Linked DNA regions of Saccharomyces cerevisiae S288C. The protein of the gene in region 2 binds, or shares a complex with, the protein of the main gene of each other region. Each region holds a gene or a part of one and is shown on either strand. Other genes may lie near its edges. The genes, in order: ASI1 and ASI3.

Region 1 (4,672 bases), on a different chromosome or scaffold from region 2:
CAACAATCTAGAATCCATTGTACAAGATTAGCTGGTGATAAGGCTGATAATTGGTGGTTCAGACAACACCCTAGAGTTTTGGAGATTAAATGGGCTAAAGGCGTCAAGAGACCAGAAAAATCTAATGCTATCGATTTATTCGTAACCGGCCAAATTCCAACAGAAGAACCAGAATTGTCTGAATACCAATCGAAGTTCGAGGAGATTCCAAAACCATTTACTCCAGAAGAAAGAAAGGAATGGTTGAGTAAATTAACCAACGTTTCTTTGTCATCGGATGCATTTTTCCCATTCCCAGACAATGTTTACAGAGCAGTTAAATCCGGTGTCAAATACATTGCCGCTCCATCTGGTTCTGTCATGGACAAGGTTGTATTTTCAGCTGCCGATTCATTCGATTTGGTTTACGTAGAGAACCCAATCCGTTTGTTCCACCATTAGATGGCATGAGTTCAGAGTCAATATGCCATAAATACAGAAATGACGGCAAATCGATGTATAGTTTATTCTTTCCTCCTCTAATGATATAATCGCCACTGACACTTTTATATATATACTAATGATACGATATGTTATAAGTACAATTTTAATTCGAACATTTCCCAAAGAAAAAAAACTTGATTTATTATTATGATGTTTATATGTGCAACACAGAAAGCTCTAGCTATAGTAATTAATGCTAGAGCTCCCAAACGAAAAACCTCTTTTAGATACCATGCAAAAGTTCTTAAACTATTATTTACTATCTGAAACAGGATGAACCTTACAGTACCCATGAACTTTACTCCTACAACATACGCAAGTGCTGAACCCACGTAAACCCAAAGAAATTCTGCAATCCTCGCAAATGGCAAAACATCGGCAGGGCCATAATACTGTATTTCTTTCATTGACTTTGCATACCGCGCAAGATAGATCAAAATCACTTTCTGTACCAAAAGTCTCATCTACTTCACTTAACTTTGTATCTAAGATAGACGCCCTTGTCAAAGTTTTATCTGACAGTAATTTTTGTTGAAGGATACGGCTAGTTGACATGATCCAATTATAATCAGTATGAACTTCATTATCTTCGGAAGAAAATAAATCCAGTAGGGCATCCCGAGTTTCGTTGAAAATCAGTGAATCTTCTTCCAAGTTTTCTTCATCAGAATCCCCCAGTGACTCAACTTCAGAAGGCTCGTAATCTTCAGAATACTCATCATCTGATGTGTTCAATAGTTCAAGTTCAATATCTTCTTTGTGGCCGGCACTATTATTGAGAGAGTTCGTTTTAGTTATCTTTAACATTTTTGATGGGTCGTTGTCGGGGATGTCCTCGTCCTTGTTATCTCTGAAGCCAAAGAATACTTGGCCTACAAGCTTCTTCATGATCCATATTATAGATTTTGGAAACATTAAAAAAAATCTTTGCTTTAATATTGATGAATTTTTCTTTGGGAAGCTGATGGAAGTGTTCTCTTTATACGGTTTAGAAAGTTCATTTAAATAACCGCTAATAAAAAATTTCTCATTAACATTATCCGGGATGTTAATAGCAGGAAATTCTCTTCGTATACCCTTTTCCATTAGTTCAGTTCCTGAGCATAATAATAGTGCGAATTTAGTGGCCATAGCAGAAAAATCTTCTTCTCCCGTGTAATTTAAGTATTTTTTCCAATTTCTACTGAGAGGGTAAAACTGTAAAAGTTCGCAAGAATTACGTGATTTTCCAAATGGATCCCATCTAATTAAGCATGATAATTTAAAAATCAGTAATGATAAGCAAATAATAGACACTGAAAACAGTTTTGGAAAGTGCCTAAATTTCACCGAAAATGGAAGGCTTTTCCAGCCGCCCTGCTTAACTCTTATCCCTAAGTAACAAATATGACAGAGGTTCATAATAGTACTAAAAAGTAGACGATAATTTCTAAGCCTGAAAATCTCCACCAAATGGATCAATATCCTGCTCAAAATAGCCATAGAACAGTCTATAATGTAATCAGGAGAATCTAAAAATTTAGTATTATTATTAGTCATTGTATAAAACTGAATCGAAAGTTCAAACAATGAATAGTCAGTGCCCTCCAAAGGGCTGGAATTCCGCATGATGGTAAATATGGTTTCGACACAATAAGAGTAAGCGAAAGCGTAGAATATATTCAGTAAAAATTTTTCTTGGGCAAAAGCAGGGTCGCCTAATATTTTGAAATCCTTACCCAAGGTCAGCGGACCTAAGGATACCATTGCTAATACAACTACTGCTGATACATGGAAAACATTACTCAACCATAACGGTAAAGTACGTCTGGAACCGTTGTTAAGGACGGCGTAAAATACAACGAACCGGTTCAGGACAATGGCGATTACAAAGCAAAATATGGCGTACGGGCTGAAAAAAAACCCTATTGTATCAAAAACAGACCTTAGAGTTGGGGGAATTTCTTCAGATTTAACGGTTTGCTCGTACTGCAAGTTCACAGCCCCAATAAAGGATAATCCAAGTCTATAAGGAAAGTTGATAACATTTGCGAAAGTGGAGTTACCTGAGATTACGGCTTGTGATGTTTGATTCAAATAGCTAAATGAATTTATGAACACATTTTCTGAAGAAGTGGAAGAGTTCATATTCTTAGCATAGTTTCTTTGTAAAAAGAAGAAAAAAACCCAGATAAAATTAAGAAAAATACCCCAAAGTGCAAATTGTCTATAAAATATAAAAGTAAGCAGTGATTATCTTCTTGAGTTAAAATTGTTGTGTGGTGAAAGAGTAATTTTAGTACTTCCTTCTATTTTTCTGTTCAAAACAATATAGTTTTCGTAATTGTGTTTTATTGTATTTTCCAATGTTTTTCATATTGCTTACTCAACTGACTTCAAAGTTTGATTCGTAGCTTCTCAATATTTCAACATAAAGGGGCGCCCTCAAAGGAATACGCGAGAAAAAAATAATGGTTGCTAAGAGATTCGAACTCTTGCATCTTACGATACCTGAGTATTCCCACAGTTAACTGCGGTCAAGATATTTCTTGAATCAGGCGCCTTAGACCGCTCGGCCAAACAACCACTTATCTGTTGAAAAGGTGTGACTATAGCAACTATAAGTTGTTATGAGTTGAATAGAATTTAAACTCATTATGGGATAAGCTGCTCGTCTATGCATTGGTAAAAGCACCTCGTTAATATGTAAAGGTCAAAAGGTCATATCAGCGAATAATAAATTTGGATCTTCCTATACTATATAAGAGAGGTTCACTGAACGCAGTCCGATCGGTTTATTATTTGAGATATAGGTGAATTTTGAGATAATTGTTGGGATTCCATTGTTGATAAAAGATTATAATATTAGGTAAACAGAATATACTAAAAGTTCTCCACGAGGACATAGGAATCCTCAAAATGGAATGTATATTTTTACATACTAATATTACGATTATCCCTCTTTCTATTTTATATGTTTCATTATCCTATCATATTATCAATCTTTGCATTTCAGCTTCTTCTAACTTTGATGACAGCTTCTCATAATTTATATCATCATCTAACACCGTCTATGATAATATATTGATAATATAACTACTAGTTGATAGACGGTAGTGGATTTTTATTCCAACATTATTAATCGTGACTAATATAACAAGTTCTCTGGTGGTTACCATATATTTAATGTAAAGACTCGCATGACACATATATATGACTACCACATAAATGTTTAATTTGAAAAAACTTCAGCTCTACTAAGGTACCTGTTGAAAATATCGAAATCCACAAGGACAATAATTTTGCTTGGTAATATTATTATTTTTCTTCCATTGTTTATGTTGATAATTAGAGGTTAAAAATTAGTATTAATGAAGAAGTGAGTACTGATCTTCTTATACTAAATAAGAGAGGTATATAAAACACACGCCGATTGGTCATATTAATTATGACCAATATAATAGTGATTCCGGTAGTTACTATACATTGATGTGACGACTCATATTCCTCATATATGTACCTACCATAACATGTTCAACTAATAGGTCTTTAACACAGCTTCAGTATTGTCTGAGCTTCTCGTTTAACATTCCTTCTGCAATAGGCGCAATCACACTTAAACGTATACGAGTTGTACATTAATATACGATGTAAGCATTAGATTGTTACCATAGCAACTCATGTCACTATTAATTACTCTCGTTCCAACAGTTTATTATATTATCAACCCTGTTTTTCATCTTCCATGGAATTTGGTAACTGCTCCTCACCGATTTATGTCATCTTGCTATTATATGGTAATATACCAAATGTGAAGGTATGCAATTGATATTTTTAGATTTTACCTTTTGGCAAAAAATCAGCACATTAGCAATAAGAAACCGTTTTATCGTTTTGTTCATTTTAATGACTTCACGGAAATTACTAGTTATTAATAGTATTTTACTCGTGAAAGATAATAATCCTTCCAATGATGATTACACTCAAGATACCCTTAAGATTTTTTGGCGTCCATAGAAAACTTCACTATTTATAGAAAATCCTGAGTGCTTCTTTCTTTGTTTATATACTCTGTCATCCACTATTCTACGTGAATATTGTGCGAATATTTTGATAATTGTGAACTCCATTGTTGATCAAAGGCTATAATGTTGTGTATACAGAATATAATAGAAGTTCCTCTCGAAGATATAAGAGTCCTCATAATGGA
Region 2 (4,771 bases):
ATTACGACTTCATTTACTGGTGCGTTATGTTTGTAATTTCTAGGAATGGACGGAGAACGCACATCCCAAACTTTAATGGTCCCATCTTCGCTAGAGGTCACCATCCATCTGTTGTCCTGTTGAAAAGAAACGGAGGTAACGTTTCCCCGATGACCCTCAAAGGATGCTACTGGATTGGGATTTGTCGTCCGAATGTCATAAAGCCGTACGTTTTGATGGCCTGCTGTTGCCAACAACTTTTTATCGTTGGTGATTTCTAAGCGATTAACCTGTGAGTCGGAATGCTGAATTGTTCTTGAACAAACCCCAGTAAGAGCCTCCCAAAATCTTATTGTGTGGTCATAGCCAGCAGATACTAAGATAACAGACATCAATCAGAACTCCTTTTTTATATGGATGACAAGACTGCCACGTTGATCGCTGCGCTAATAATATATGGTTGTCGCACTCTTCTATAACATGATCAGTAATAGCTAGTCGTTACTTTTCTGAATCTTAACGTATTGTGTTACCCTCTTTGGTTTATATGAACGTTCCAGAAACTTCTGGAAAAAGAATGGGATATCCTTTTACGGGTTTTTCAACCACTGTCAGCACAAACTCCTTGCCAAGGTAGTTCGAGATTTAATATATATTGTATAGATTTCTCGTCCCTTTACCGTATTGTTAATCCCTTTTTAAACTTATGCGCTTTCTTGTCAAAAATTCTAATTAATATTATTTAAGCTCTTACACGAATTCTTTTAACGACTTAGAATTGTATAACCATCCAGAAACTCTTCAGAGGATAAAGGATAAGTTGTTTGCATTTTAAGATTTTTTTTTTAATACATTCACATCAATATAATAGAGTATAGTATACAGAACTAATAATGGTCAAGGAGACAAAACTTTATGATTTACTTGGAGTATCTCCAAGTGCTAATGAGCAAGAACTGAAAAAGGGTTATAGAAAAGCAGCTCTAAAATATCATCCAGATAAGCCAACAGGTGACACAGAAAAGTTTAAGGAGATATCAGAGGCCTTTGAAATTTTAAATGATCCTCAAAAAAGGGAAATATATGATCAATACGGTCTCGAGGCTGCTAGATCTGGTGGTCCAAGCTTTGGTCCTGGTGGTCCTGGCGGTGCTGGAGGTGCTGGAGGCTTCCCTGGCGGTGCGGGCGGATTCTCCGGAGGACATGCGTTCAGTAATGAGGATGCTTTCAATATTTTTTCACAATTCTTTGGCGGCAGTTCCCCATTCGGTGGTGCTGATGACAGTGGCTTCAGTTTCTCTAGTTATCCATCTGGCGGCGGTGCTGGTATGGGAGGTATGCCTGGAGGAATGGGAGGAATGCATGGCGGCATGGGAGGTATGCCTGGCGGCTTTAGATCAGCATCAAGCTCTCCCACGTATCCAGAGGAAGAAACAGTTCAAGTTAATTTACCAGTTAGTCTAGAAGATTTGTTTGTTGGTAAAAAGAAGTCATTTAAAATTGGAAGAAAGGGCCCACATGGGGCCTCTGAAAAGACACAAATTGACATTCAATTAAAACCGGGTTGGAAAGCTGGTACCAAAATAACATACAAGAACCAGGGTGATTACAATCCTCAAACGGGCCGTAGAAAGACTTTGCAGTTTGTCATCCAGGAAAAGAGCCATCCAAACTTTAAAAGAGACGGTGATGACCTAATTTACACTCTGCCACTATCTTTCAAGGAATCATTGTTAGGTTTTTCAAAAACTATCCAAACAATTGATGGCAGAACCTTACCTTTGTCGAGAGTACAGCCTGTCCAACCCTCACAAACTTCTACTTATCCTGGTCAAGGTATGCCAACTCCAAAGAACCCATCTCAGAGAGGTAATTTGATTGTAAAATATAAAGTGGACTATCCAATATCACTAAACGACGCTCAAAAACGTGCTATAGATGAAAATTTTTAATAGTAATCCTAAGCAAATATAATTATAAACTCAAATAAATTTATCACCACAGAAATCATATAATATACATCATTAATTTTGACTCAATAATCTTAAATTGCGCGGTGCGGTGCGCGGTAAATTAAAGTTTTTGTATGTCTGCATTACCCTGCCCTCTGGCATATAAATGATGTATGTAAGGAATGGTTGACTTGACAGAAGGTCACCGAGAGGCTACAATTTGTCAGGAACAGTCATTACGTAGGGATTTTCAAAAGTTTGACTGATGTCTACAAATATATTGCAACATGTTAAGCAATTGCTCCATAACAGAGATGTATTTAGCTTTTTTCACAACAAGACTGGAAATCTTAATTACCTAGATAACACAACTCAGAAACCGGAAGTTTTTGTAAGTCCAAATTCTACAATAGTTTCAGCCCCAACTTTGGACTCTTTTCAAGCATTGATGGAGAAAGGTAACTTCACCACTTTGCAACTAGCTAAGGTAGGAATTAGAATGTTTTTCTCCTATTCGGTAAGTAAGTATGCTGTTCTATGTTTTAGTACCGCCATTATTTTGAATAGGTTGACTGTAATGTCTTCATTGAGATCAAATTCTACAAACATTCGTTTACCTCTTTGGTCAAAAACTTTGCTCCATTTAGTAGCCACTCTTTCACTGGTTAAAGCACTTTTACAAATTCTGAGTCAATTTGGACTCATGCATGAACTGCACGTGAGTGATACAGATTTTTATGCTTTAAGTGTCTATTTATTTGTAGCTCTGTCTGACTGCATTGAAATTTTTATTTCTTCAACGACGAACGTTCCTTCATTAATATGCTCTGATTTTTCCATATGGGGTTTATCATTGAATCTTTATATCATATCCAAAATGCCCGCGGGGCAGCAGCATATTGGCGATAATGTTGAACTACTAGGAGCGGTTTTTCACAGATTAGTAATTCATTTGGTAGAATTGTTTCATATAAGAGCCTATAGATTATGTGGAGAAGTTATATTAAACGCGGGTTTTTTTACCGCATTCGTCACTAGGACCTATTTGAACGGATTAGATTTTATTAACATCTGTCTCATTCACAATTATTTCCCTGGCTTTTTCTATATTTCCACCATATTACTGGCGTCTATAGGCATTTTCCTGAAGGCTTTGTTCACCAGTAATCCGTTCCGATCATTATATTCAAGATATAAAAACTTGGAAAAATGGTGGAGATCAAATAATTACAATGGAGAAGAGGAGTTTAACGAAATAGCTCTTTCATTGTGTCTACTTTTAACGTCGAATGACTATAAAATATTTAAGAAATCAGACAACGTAAAATCCGTTGATGAAGTCGCTGCTTTCAGTAATAGTTATGTGGTTAGTGGACATTTAAACCAACTCCAGTCGACACCAGAGGATCTGTTATCTCGTAAGGAAATGACTACCGATTCCCAGTTACCAGGTTTTGCGAGGACATATTTAGGCCTTTTTGAATTAGTAAGAACCATTATTTTGACGTATTCTAGACTCCTAAAAAATCTTCTGTGGAGTAAAAATTTTGAGAGCAGTATAGATAAGAAACCGAGAGTGGGAAAGCGTAAAAAGAGGGATTTAAACAAATATGTTACAGAAAAAAACTATAAAAAGTTTTTATATAAACCGGACGTCAAAGAGCTTAATATTGAGAGTGATCTCAGAAGCCTGGAGTTATTGCTTCCTGAAGACGATTCATCAAAAGACTACTTTCCCCCCAGAAAAATCGATGAAAGTGTTTCAGATGAAGAGTTTGATAGTGATATGGAAAGTCAGTTGATTATTGATGAAGAAAAAGAATTAACACATTTATCAAGTAATGCTGTCGATTCTGATGATTTAGAGGAAATAGCCTGGAACATCTCCATGTGGTCTATTTTAAATTATGAAATGGATGTCCATAATAAGGTTAATGGACCGTTGACTAGATCACAATATGGTAAAAGAAACCCACAAGGTGTACTAGTCGATGTTGTTATTGAACGCCTTCTGCATCATACAAACTCCAGGTATATGTACAAACGTTTAAATATGAAGGACGATGACAAATTAGAGTTCAAGTTTGATTTTGCCTTTGATAGTTGCGACGAAGTGGAGGAAATGGATCTCTCCTGCCTAATCTGCAAAGTTAATAAAAGAAATATTGTAACTTGGCCCTGTAGATGCCTTGCATTATGCGATGATTGTAGGATATCTCTGGGTTATAAAGGATTTGCTACATGCGTCAGCTGTGATAGTGAGGTGAAGGGTTACAGTAAGTTGAATATAGTCTAGAATTATTTTATTAGGTATACGTATTTAAGACATCATAGGAATTTTTTTTTTTGGATATGTTCAACCTCAAGTCTGAACACTATAACCCTAGGCCAGACTTGTCTTTTCAAATGAATGGCGGATTGGTTTATAGTTTGCACATACCTTTCTTGTCTTCATTGGAGCTGAGCATCATGTTTTGAAGCCTCTTGGCAACTTCATCAATAAACTCTTCTGTGGTTACATATGATGATCTATTAGTCTTTCCAAGCATCAATGCTAAATCCTTGGTCATTTTTCCGCCCACTTGAACTGTGTCCAAAGTAGCCTTTTCTAGTAAGTTTCCAAATTTTATAACATCATCTGTATTGTCTAATTTTCCTCTTTGTATAATTGCCCTTGTCCAGGCAAATATTGAGGCTATTGAATTTGTTGATGTTTCTTCGCCTCTTTGATGTTTTCTAAAATGTCTGGTCACCGTACCATGGGCAGCCTCGCTTTCAAACGTTTTACCATCAGGTGTAATCAATATGGACGTCATTAAACCAAGAGACCCAAATCCTTG

Evidence for each region.
Region 1: ASI3 (region 2) and ASI1 share a complex: the UniProt entries of both Saccharomyces cerevisiae proteins name them as parts of the asi complex.

The regions. Positions count from the first base shown.
Region 1 is NC_001145.3:503,271-507,942, reverse strand, and holds ASI1 (putative ubiquitin-protein ligase ASI1), read right to left. Parts: upstream 2,611-4,672; coding exon 736-2,610; downstream 1-735. Other genes in the region: bifunctional phosphoribosylaminoimidazolecarboxamide formyltransferase/IMP cyclohydrolase ADE17, read left to right, coding at 1-441. UniProt on the Saccharomyces cerevisiae protein: E3 ubiquitin-protein ligase which transfers ubiquitin to substrates promoting their degradation.
Region 2 is NC_001146.8:615,667-620,437, reverse strand, and holds ASI3 (putative ubiquitin-protein ligase ASI3), read left to right. Parts: upstream 1-2,196; coding exon 2,197-4,227; downstream 4,228-4,771. Other genes in the region: TOR complex subunit LST8, read right to left, coding at 1-371; type II HSP40 co-chaperone SIS1, read left to right, coding at 873-1,931; isocitrate dehydrogenase (NADP(+)) IDP3, read right to left, coding at 4,355-4,771. UniProt on the Saccharomyces cerevisiae protein: Part of the nuclear inner membrane (INM)-specific branch of the ER-associated degradation (ERAD) pathway, required for the elimination of misfolded proteins in the INM, a specialized ER subdomain. Required for ERG11 degradation.